Linked DNA regions of Arabidopsis thaliana. The protein of the gene in region 2 interacts with the protein of the main gene of each other region in a pairwise test. Each region holds a gene or a part of one and is shown on either strand. Other genes may lie near its edges.

Evidence for each region.
Region 1: the proteins of AT5G55330 (region 2) and SERK2 interact in a protein complementation assay, tested with the Arabidopsis thaliana proteins (one large-scale study listed by BioGRID).

Annotation. Positions count from the first base shown.
Region 1 is NC_003070.9:12,456,770-12,463,405, forward strand, and holds SERK2 (somatic embryogenesis receptor-like kinase 2), read left to right. Parts: upstream 1-1,794; 5' UTR 1,795-2,308; coding exon 2,309-2,405; intron 2,406-2,813; coding exon 2,814-2,946; intron 2,947-3,029; coding exon 3,030-3,101; intron 3,102-3,352; coding exon 3,353-3,496; intron 3,497-3,725; coding exon 3,726-3,797; intron 3,798-3,891; coding exon 3,892-3,963; intron 3,964-4,198; coding exon 4,199-4,311; intron 4,312-4,498; coding exon 4,499-4,630; intron 4,631-4,720; coding exon 4,721-5,062; intron 5,063-5,197; coding exon 5,198-5,592; intron 5,593-5,668; coding exon 5,669-5,983; 3' UTR 5,984-6,136; downstream 6,137-6,636. Other genes in the region: AT1G34200 (Glyceraldehyde-3-phosphate dehydrogenase-like family protein), read left to right, coding at 1-166; AT1G34220 (Regulator of Vps4 activity in the MVB pathway protein), read right to left, coding at 6,333-6,636. UniProt on the Arabidopsis thaliana protein: Serine/threonine-kinase involved in brassinosteroid-dependent and -independent signaling pathways. Acts redundantly with SERK1 as a control point for sporophytic development controlling male gametophyte production. Serves as coreceptor to small peptide (e.g.
Region 2 is NC_003076.8:22,436,942-22,440,524, reverse strand, and holds AT5G55330 (MBOAT (membrane bound O-acyl transferase) family protein), read left to right. Parts: upstream 1-1,640; 5' UTR 1,641-1,659; coding exon 1,660-2,700; 3' UTR 2,701-3,054; downstream 3,055-3,583. Other genes in the region: AT5G55340 (MBOAT (membrane bound O-acyl transferase) family protein), read left to right, coding at 1-540. UniProt on the Arabidopsis thaliana protein: Catalyzes the final step in the synthesis of long-chain linear esters (waxes).

The sequences.
Region 1 (6,636 bases), on a different chromosome or scaffold from region 2:
GTGTATGGTTATGGAATTTGCTCGGTTGGTTGGAGAAATCAAAAACAGAGGAGCTAAACCGGATGGGTTTTGGATGAGGTTTAGCCGGAATACGCAGTTGCTTGTTGATGCTGTGAAAGAGTCGATTGATAATAACCTTGAACCGGTGTTTCTCTCCGGCCGGTGAGAAAGAGCTCAGAAGTTAGATCAGATTTGTTTGTGTCGATGCTTTTAGTAGATGTAGTAATTAGGGGTTTATGTATGATATCTTCTCGGCGTCCGTTGGTGGAGAGGTCAATTAAAGATCTCCTTGGCGCATGGCTGCAAGCATTTCATCAATACATTTCATCCATCACCAAGAAATTCTAGGGATATATACTGCATAGAGCTTCAAAGACTTGGTGCAGTGTCACTCACGAGTTTTGCTGTGTTTAATGTGGCACCGGGGTTTGCTTGTAAATCTATACCTCCAGCTTTAATAGCAGAGGTAGTGACTATGGCTGGTAAACTTTGGCATTATGTGACTTCTTTCTCCGATGTGACATCTTCAGGTGTCCAAACAAAAATCTCTGCTCATAAGACAATATAAGTTCATCGACAATACTAGCTACTGTTTTGTTGAATTCACAATCTCTGCACCTTTCTTATATAGCAGCCACCTTGGATTAATTTTGTTTTTGTTTTCCTTTTTCCTATGGTTTATGATTCAGAAGTTTAGATTATACGTTTATTTACAAGAATCCAGAGAATGAGTACATAATTGACCAAAAATAAAAGTTCAAATTATTTTGATGTAGAATTATAAATTAGTATTTGTAACTATGTTTTTTTTTAGTTTTTTGAATTTTTAAAGAAGAAAAAACACACATGTCAATATTTGTTCGACAAATATTGGTATGTGTTGTGTTCACGTGAGTTAACAATTTTGAAAACTTATCTACATATACATTTTTGCAGCCATTTATGTATACTTATTTACATTGGTTGCCATTGGCTTTTAATTATTGGGTTTTTTTTTTTGGTAATAAATTGATTAACAAACGAAAAACATTCGAAATATATTTCAATCCTATATATCACGCAGATTTCTCCAAAATTTAAACTAGATTTTGGCAACTATTTAAAACAAAAAATGTTTGACAAACTAAAATACAATTGCAATCCCTTAAAATGAGCAAAACGCACCTAAATACATTTTTTACAATTCACTAAATCTTATTTCTCCAAAATTTGAACTAGATTTCGGCAACTATTTAAAACAAAAATTTGTTTGACAAACTAAAATACAATTGCAATCCCGTAAAATATTTATTTAAATTAGCGGTGTACTACAGGTTTTTTTACGGAACGGGTTTGGCAAGACGGGTTTGGAAGAACTTTACTTAATAACAATTGTAAACTATAAAATAAAAATGTTTTATAGATAGATATAATTTGCAAACTTTTATATATATTAATTTTAAAAAATAATTTGTCTCCGCAGTATACTGCGGGTTAAAATCTAGTTATAATATATATCCGTAAAGAACAATAACACAGTATGAATTTTTTTTGTAAGTTATTCGATTAAAAATTAAAAGAAGCAAATTAAATTAAATAATGAGCTACCAAAACAAATAAACAAAAATTACTTTTTTGTCTATAAACATGGAGTTTTGCCAAGAAATTGTAAATAAAGTTTCTATTCCTTTTTTGTAAACAAAAGTTGTGTATCTAATTTTCTCTTTTCCATAAGTTGTGAATTGTGATAATAATTTACAAGTTGACAAAGAAAGAAAAGATTTAAAACAAAAAAAATGTGATTGTACTTAAGATTTCAAAGGTAGCGTTTTGTTGTTTCTCTCTTCCTCTCTCTCTCCACTGGTACCAATCACGCTCCATTAAGAATTTAAGAGAGAGAGAGACTAAACTTGAGCCCATCACTTTTGTAGTGACTAGTGAGTAGAGTAGGCTTTTAGAGAGAGAGAGAGAGAGACGGCTGTTGAAAGATAACCACAGAACACAAAAACTCATTCATTAAGAATGAGAAAGAAAGTCCCAAAAACCTTTTTTGCTCTGAAAAAGCAACGCAAAGTTTTGAAAAATCTCACACCTTTTTCACTTCTCTGTTTGTAGCTGTTACCACTTGTGTTTCCCCTTTGGCATTTTTCTCGGTTGTCATTAATGAGAGTAAAATCATCATCAAGTGTAAACTTCTCTCTCTCTTTCTCTATCTCTATCTCAAAGCTCTCAACTTTGGAGAGATCATGGTTTGTGTTTGATTTCTCAAGTTTTTTTTTTTTTACCCTCTTGGAGGATCTGGGAGGAGAAATTTGCTTTTTTTTGGTAAATGGGGAGAAAAAAGTTTGAAGCTTTTGGTTTTGTCTGCTTAATCTCACTGCTTCTTCTGTTTAATTCGTTATGGCTTGCCTCTTCTAACATGGAAGGTTTGTTACTCTTCTCTTATCTTTCTTTATTATTTATGTGACTACTTTTGCCTGTTTTAGTTGGTACATGAGAATTGAAATTTCCATCTGGCACTGTCTCTGTTCTTCAAAAAGGACTTTTTAAGAATCTGATTCTGTTTGAAAGCTTCAATTTCTATAGAGAATTTTGTTCATAATCTATGGTTAGGCTCCTTTAGAAAAATCACAATTGATTTACTGTTTGATTCAATGCTATTTCTCTGATAACGACATGTAAAAGAAACTGTATTTATGTCACTAGCAAACACATTAAGAATGAGGAACTGAAGAAGTATTCAATGCAAACTGTTTGGTTGTTTCATGTTTGATTTGTTTGGTAAGTATTTCCTCTTTGCGAAAGGCTTAGGCTTTTGTTTGGTATATTAACAGGTGATGCACTGCACAGTTTGAGAGCTAATCTAGTTGATCCAAATAATGTCTTGCAAAGCTGGGATCCTACGCTTGTTAATCCGTGTACTTGGTTTCACGTAACGTGTAACAACGAGAACAGTGTTATAAGAGTGTGAGTGTCTCTCTGCTTATACCTGACCTGACCAATGTTCTTTGTTTAGCTTATTTAATCTCTGTTTGTTGTTGCTTCTTCAGCGATCTTGGGAATGCAGACTTGTCTGGTCAGTTGGTTCCTCAGCTAGGTCAGCTCAAGAACTTGCAGTACTTGTAAGTTTTTGCTTTGATATCTAAATGGAAGATGAATCGTTACTCTGTAGATAAACGAAAAGTTGATGGCATTGACTATGTGTAGCATAACTACTTTATTTCTAGAGACTTGTAGTTTCTCATACATGATATAGGCGAATATGGCGATTACACTGAATCTTGTTTTTTCATTTTATTAGGACTTATTCAATACCCATTTGTCATTGTACATTGTTAATTTTCTTCTGAGGGTGTGATACTCTTAATGGCAGGGAGCTTTATAGTAATAACATAACCGGGCCGGTTCCAAGCGATCTTGGGAATCTGACAAACTTAGTGAGCTTGGATCTTTACTTGAACAGCTTCACTGGTCCAATTCCAGATTCTCTAGGAAAGCTATTCAAGCTTCGCTTTCTGTAAGAACACTTAGTCTGCTCTTCTCATCATGCACTGGCTAAATGTTTTGCTATATTAGAAATTTACTGAGGATTAAATTCTCTTTTGGCTAAATGTTATTACTTGTTGGACATTTGAATAGAAGTAAAAGAAATTGGCTTTGTCTTTCAAAACACTGAATAAACTTGTTTGATTGAACTCTGGTATGGGAAGATGGTAATGTGGTCTGAGTTTTTGTTGCAAGGATAGTCGGCTCAACAATAACAGTCTCACCGGACCAATTCCCATGTCATTGACTAATATCATGACCCTTCAAGTTTTGTGAGTATTACTTTTCAATTTTACTTTCTGCTCTTCTGAACTTCTCACTCTTAATGGATCACCTGAGTTTTCCTTATTATCTTGCAAACTGCAGGGATCTGTCGAACAACCGATTATCCGGATCTGTTCCTGATAATGGTTCCTTCTCGCTCTTCACTCCCATCAGGTTTGATTGAATCCATACTATGCAAACATTAGTTACTCGCATTATGGGAACTGAGGCTATAAGTTAAGATTAAGCACAAGTGGCAATAAAATTTAAAGTCTGAACCTAAGTTTCTTTTGATCATCTTAACTCTTAAGTAAATTTACTCAATAGACATACTACATTTTCCAAATTCTATTACTTTAATTGGTGGATATGGAAATTATCAGCAGTTGACCATTGTTCTTCTGCACAGTTTTGCTAACAACTTGGATCTATGCGGCCCAGTTACTAGCCGTCCTTGTCCTGGATCTCCCCCGTTTTCTCCTCCACCACCTTTTATACCACCTCCCATAGTTCCTACACCAGGTAATGAAATGAAGCAGACAGTAAAATTTAGATCTTTTACCTTCACTCATGCTTGGAAAAACATATTGGATGGTTGTTATAGAGTTTTTTACTGGATTTTGACTGGAAAAAAGTCTATCTCACAGTTTAAGAAGCTTGTGATCAACTTCACTGGTAGTTAACTATTTTGGTAAAAATAAAATTTAAGGTGGGTATAGTGCTACTGGAGCCATTGCGGGAGGAGTTGCTGCTGGTGCTGCTTTACTATTTGCTGCCCCTGCTTTAGCTTTTGCTTGGTGGCGTAGAAGAAAACCTCAAGAATTCTTCTTTGATGTTCCTGGTAAGTCACTGAGTCTGCAATATCCAAGCTTTGTTTCATTTCAGAATTGGATTAGTATTTAGTACTTAATTTTTCAGTTCTGTGATGCAGCCGAAGAGGACCCTGAGGTTCACTTGGGGCAGCTTAAGCGGTTCTCTCTACGGGAACTTCAAGTAGCAACTGATAGCTTCAGCAACAAGAACATTTTGGGCCGAGGTGGGTTCGGAAAAGTCTACAAAGGCCGTCTTGCTGATGGAACACTTGTTGCAGTCAAACGGCTTAAAGAAGAGCGAACCCCAGGTGGCGAGCTCCAGTTTCAGACAGAAGTGGAGATGATAAGCATGGCCGTTCACAGAAATCTCCTCAGGCTACGCGGTTTCTGTATGACCCCTACCGAGAGATTGCTTGTTTATCCTTACATGGCTAATGGAAGTGTCGCTTCCTGTTTGAGAGGTAACCTTGGAATTTTAACTGTTTGTATCATAAAGTAGAAAGACTCCCACAATGATGTATAAGTGTTGTTTTTGATCTTATCCATTTTTAAAACTTTCCAATACAATTGAGTGAGCTTTCTTGAAATGATTACAGAACGTCCACCATCACAGTTGCCTCTAGCCTGGTCAATAAGACAGCAAATCGCGCTAGGATCAGCGAGGGGTTTGTCTTATCTTCATGATCATTGCGACCCCAAAATTATTCACCGTGATGTGAAAGCTGCTAATATTCTGTTGGACGAGGAATTTGAGGCGGTGGTAGGTGATTTCGGGTTAGCTAGACTTATGGACTATAAAGATACTCATGTCACAACGGCTGTGCGTGGGACTATTGGACACATTGCTCCTGAGTATCTCTCAACTGGAAAATCTTCAGAGAAAACTGATGTTTTTGGCTACGGGATCATGCTTTTGGAACTGATTACAGGTCAGAGAGCTTTTGATCTTGCAAGACTGGCGAATGACGATGACGTTATGCTCCTAGATTGGGTATAACACAGATCTTTTAGCACATATCTGGCTATCTCTCAAAAAGCTGATTTATCTGTTCATTTGGTCTTCTCAGGTGAAAGGGCTTTTGAAGGAGAAGAAGCTGGAGATGCTTGTGGATCCTGACCTGCAAAGCAATTACACAGAAGCAGAAGTAGAACAGCTCATACAAGTGGCTCTTCTCTGCACACAGAGCTCACCTATGGAACGACCTAAGATGTCTGAGGTTGTTCGAATGCTTGAAGGTGACGGTTTAGCGGAGAAATGGGACGAGTGGCAGAAAGTGGAAGTTCTCAGGCAAGAAGTGGAGCTCTCTTCTCACCCCACCTCTGACTGGATCCTTGATTCGACTGATAATCTTCATGCTATGGAGTTGTCTGGTCCAAGATAAACGACATTGTAATTTGCCTAACAGAAAAGAGAAAGAACAGAGAAATATTAAGAGAATCACTTCTCTGTATTCTTTATTTCTTTGGTAGAAAAATAATGTAGTCTCTAATCAAATCTTATTCCATCTATCAGCATTCTTCATTCATTTCTTGTGAAAACCAAGGCCTTTAAATTAAACATAATCACAAACACCAAGTTCTATACATTACATATGTCTTCCACTGGATAAAGAGGAAGAAAAGGCTATTCCAAAAAACATTTTGAGCTCTTTGTTCCGCAAGAGAAGGAACAGCACAAGTGAAACACACTGAAAAACACCAAGCTTGCATTATAACATATGCAGGTAAGAATCACGAATCATGGGCGGGTCTTGTATTGTCTGAGAACGAATGAGAGCCAGATGAGGGATCATGCTTCTGCGATGTGAAGAGATTAGGGTATGAGTAATAGGGATCATCTTCCATTGAAGGCAGTCTCATTTGCTGATGGTCCTGGTCAGGGCTGAGTCTGTCAAGTGGTGAAGTCTCTGGCCTTTGGAGCTCTGGCAGATCGCCATAGCTGCTGACTGATGAGTTCTGATGATCAAACTGCGGTTTCTCCATTGACGGGAATCTATGTGGTGTAAGATCGTCATAGTTGCTGCCTGATGAGTTC
Region 2 (3,583 bases):
GAGATTGAGATTATATTAACGTTTGTTAAAGTTGTTGTTTTTATCTCTCTTGGCTGCGATCTTGAGCCACAGTCCAATAAACCGTACTTAGCCACATCTCTACAAGACTTCTGGGGTCGCCGGTGGAATCTCATGGTTCCGGCGATTCTCCGGCCAGCCGTTTACGCACCAATGCGGCGAGTCTCTGAACGCAAAATGAGTTCCGGTTGGGCTCTGTTTCCGGGGATTTTGGCAGCGTTTATCGTCTCCGGTTTGGTTCACGAATTGCTCTTCTTCTATTTGATACGTGAGATGCCTACAGGAGAAGTTACTCTGTTCTTTGTGTTACATGGCGTTTGTACTGCTGTAGAATTGGCGGTGAAGAAGAAAACGACGGTAGCACAGCGGTGGCGGTTGAGTCCGGGGGTGTCGCGGGTTCTCACGGTGGGGTTTGTGTTTGTGACTGGTGGTTGGTTGTTTACACCTCAGCTTAAAAGGAGCGGGGTGATGGAGAGATTCACATCTGAAGCTGTGTTGCTCGTTGAGTTCATTAAGCGATAAGTTATTTTATTTACGTTGTTGGGGATATTTTATAACGAGTGTTAAATGAGCACGAGTTAACGTTATTGAGTCCGGTTGAGCATCAAAGTCCATAATGGTCAACTACTTATCTTGAAATGAATCGAACTTGTCTTGTTGAAGATGTCGGCAAGTTGGAATTAGTAGAAACTCTTTAAGATGCTGCCAGCATGTCTCTTGGTCTCTTCATGCCGTTTCTTTCTTTCTTATCAAACCCTAAAAAAACTGACTTGCTTCAGTTCCAAGTTCGTTGTACATGACGATTTGTTTTTACTTGGAACTAAAGAATGAAATAATAGTGTTACTTGGAACCAAACCAACACTTCCTATCGATCGATCAATTTTTGTTCCCTCGACTACTGTTTGTGTCATGTTCACGTGAACCCTTTGTAGAGAGATTATCTAAATACAACATAGTTGGGAGGAAAGATCGCCAAAGAGCGTTAGCGAGAGGAAGAAAAAAACTATATGGATTTCCCATATAACGTCAAGCATAGGTCAAAATGTTTACTCTGCTGTCAAATTATTTAAGAAATAGAAGCTTCATTGCTCCCTCATCGGTAGAATTCGTCAACTTATTGCAGGTTTTGAATCATTCAAATTCTTTAGTTCCAGGCGAAAACGAATTTTTATGATATATTGATATTGCTTGTGTAGTTGTGTTACGAGAGATGGGTGCGTTTCAACTCGTACTTAGAACGGGAGGTCCCGCATGGCTTCATAATCGCATTAAGGAGAAACGACAACCTTAGTTTTATTTCACTGTTTTTTACGAGTGTTAATTATGCTCTGCTCTGCTAACTTTTTCATAAAAAAATTCAATATTTAAGACGTTGAAAAGAAAAACTATAAACGGTAGTCATACTTATTTTTTTTTATTTTTACATACACTACTAGTACTATATTACTATATCATAAAAGAGGAAAGTACTTAATTTGATAGATTTTCCAGAGCCATTAACTACTCAACAACTGCCAATAGTTTTTTCCCTTAAATGTGTAACAAACATACTGTCTTTATTAATTGCTCCCACGCTTATATACTACAACTGTAAACATTTTTCCTATGTTTCTTGGTTTATTATCACTTAACCAGTAACCATGGAGGAAGAACTCAAGTTATTCATCCAAGTATGGGTTTCTGCAATCATTTCAGTAACTTATTGTTACTACTTAACACCCAAAATCAAAACCAGTCTTCTTCGATTACTATCTGTTCTTCCTGTTTGTGTTTTGTTTCTTATTATTCCTATCTTTTTCTCCACTGTTCATTCCTCTTTCACTATTGCATTTTTCCTCTCAGGTCTTGCAGTTCCAAAACTCATCCTCTTTGCATTAGAAAAAGGTCCTCTTTTTCCACTTCCTCCTAATCTCCCTCATTTCGTCTGCTTTGCTTGCTTCCCCATCAAGCTTCAAAAAAAACCTAACCCTGAAAATACTAACCATTTCCCCAAATGGGTTTTTGCCCTGAAAGTTTTCATCTTTGGTGCCTTGTTACTACAAGCGTATCATTACAAACAATTTCTATCTACGAATTTTCTATTGGGTCTCTATGCTCTGCATATATACTTGGAGCTTGAGATTTCCTTAACCTTGATAAAATTTCTCGTCAGTATCACTCTTGGGTGTGACCTCGAGCCACAATTCAACGAACCATACTTAGCCACCTCTCTACATGACTTCTGGGGTCACCGATGGAACCTCATGGTCTCGAAGATTCTCTGGCTCGCAGTGTACAACCCCATACGGCAATGGCGAGCCAAGAGCTCCGAGTGGGATCGGTTCTTCGCGATTTTCGCCACGTTCCTCGTCTCTGGTGTGGCTCACGAGATTCTCTACTTCTATTTGACACGTGAGAAGCCTACATGGGAGGTGACTTGGTTCTTTGTGTTACATGGGTTTTGCATGGCGGCTGAAGTGGCACTGAAGAGGAAGACGAAGTTGGTGCAGCGGTGGCCGGTGAATCCGGCAGTGTCGAGACTGCTTACGGTGGGGTTTGTGTTTGTGACTGGTGTTTGGCTATTTTCCCCCCAGCCTATTAGGCACGGCTTGATGGAGAGGTTCATCAATGAAGACTTGTTTCTAATTGATTTCTTTAATCGTAAGTTATATATCCTCTTAGGGTTGTTTACGAGTCTTTAATAAATGGGAAAATTGGAAACAAAGGATAAATATTTAAAGAAAGAGATGGTAAGATTCTAAGAGAAATTGAAGCGAGGGAAATAAAGAAAGATAAATTGAAAAAAAAAGAGTTTTGTTTTGGAGTTATTTGAGAGGAGTGAACAGCTTAATTTTTGTGAAGAATAGAGGAAGACAATATCGAAGAAGTGATGAACGACGACTCCAAGTAAAAGAATATTGATTTGCTCCAAGTAAAAATAAATTGGTTTGGACTTTTTGTTTTGTATTTTGTAAGCATAAAAAAGCTGGAGATATAGTGGGATTTAAATTATATTAAACGCATATGTCACCAATCTTGATCATAAAATGTATAGATGGAAATTTTTTTAAATATTTATCTTTTATTTCCAATTTCCCCTTAATAAAATTTACATGTTTATTTATCAAAGTTGTTTTGTTTTCGCTAAACTATCTTACAAATAAATTAATAGGTGTTGAAGACAAAACTTCATTTTTCATCTATCCTAAAAATAAAGAAACCTGAAAAATATGGCAAATTTACTAAAAATATTCCGGTAGAGTAGTAGTCTTTTTGAATAATAGTATTTTTCGAAAATTGGTACATCTAAGATTCAAAAGGGGTATTTCATGAAAATTCCTCATATATTTGTCTATACTAAAAATATAACTTTATAATAATTTGATGAAATAAATCGGTGATTAATATTTTTGGACAGTTAGGTATACTGGTCTAGTGTTAAACTTGACTTGAAGTTGAACCATGTGAATTCTCCCATACGGAGAACTACCACCTTACACCGATAGTCTCAACTAAACATGAACCATAAACTCTTTGACAATTTCTCACTTTCTTTTTATTTTTCTTCTTTACTTTGAATATTAA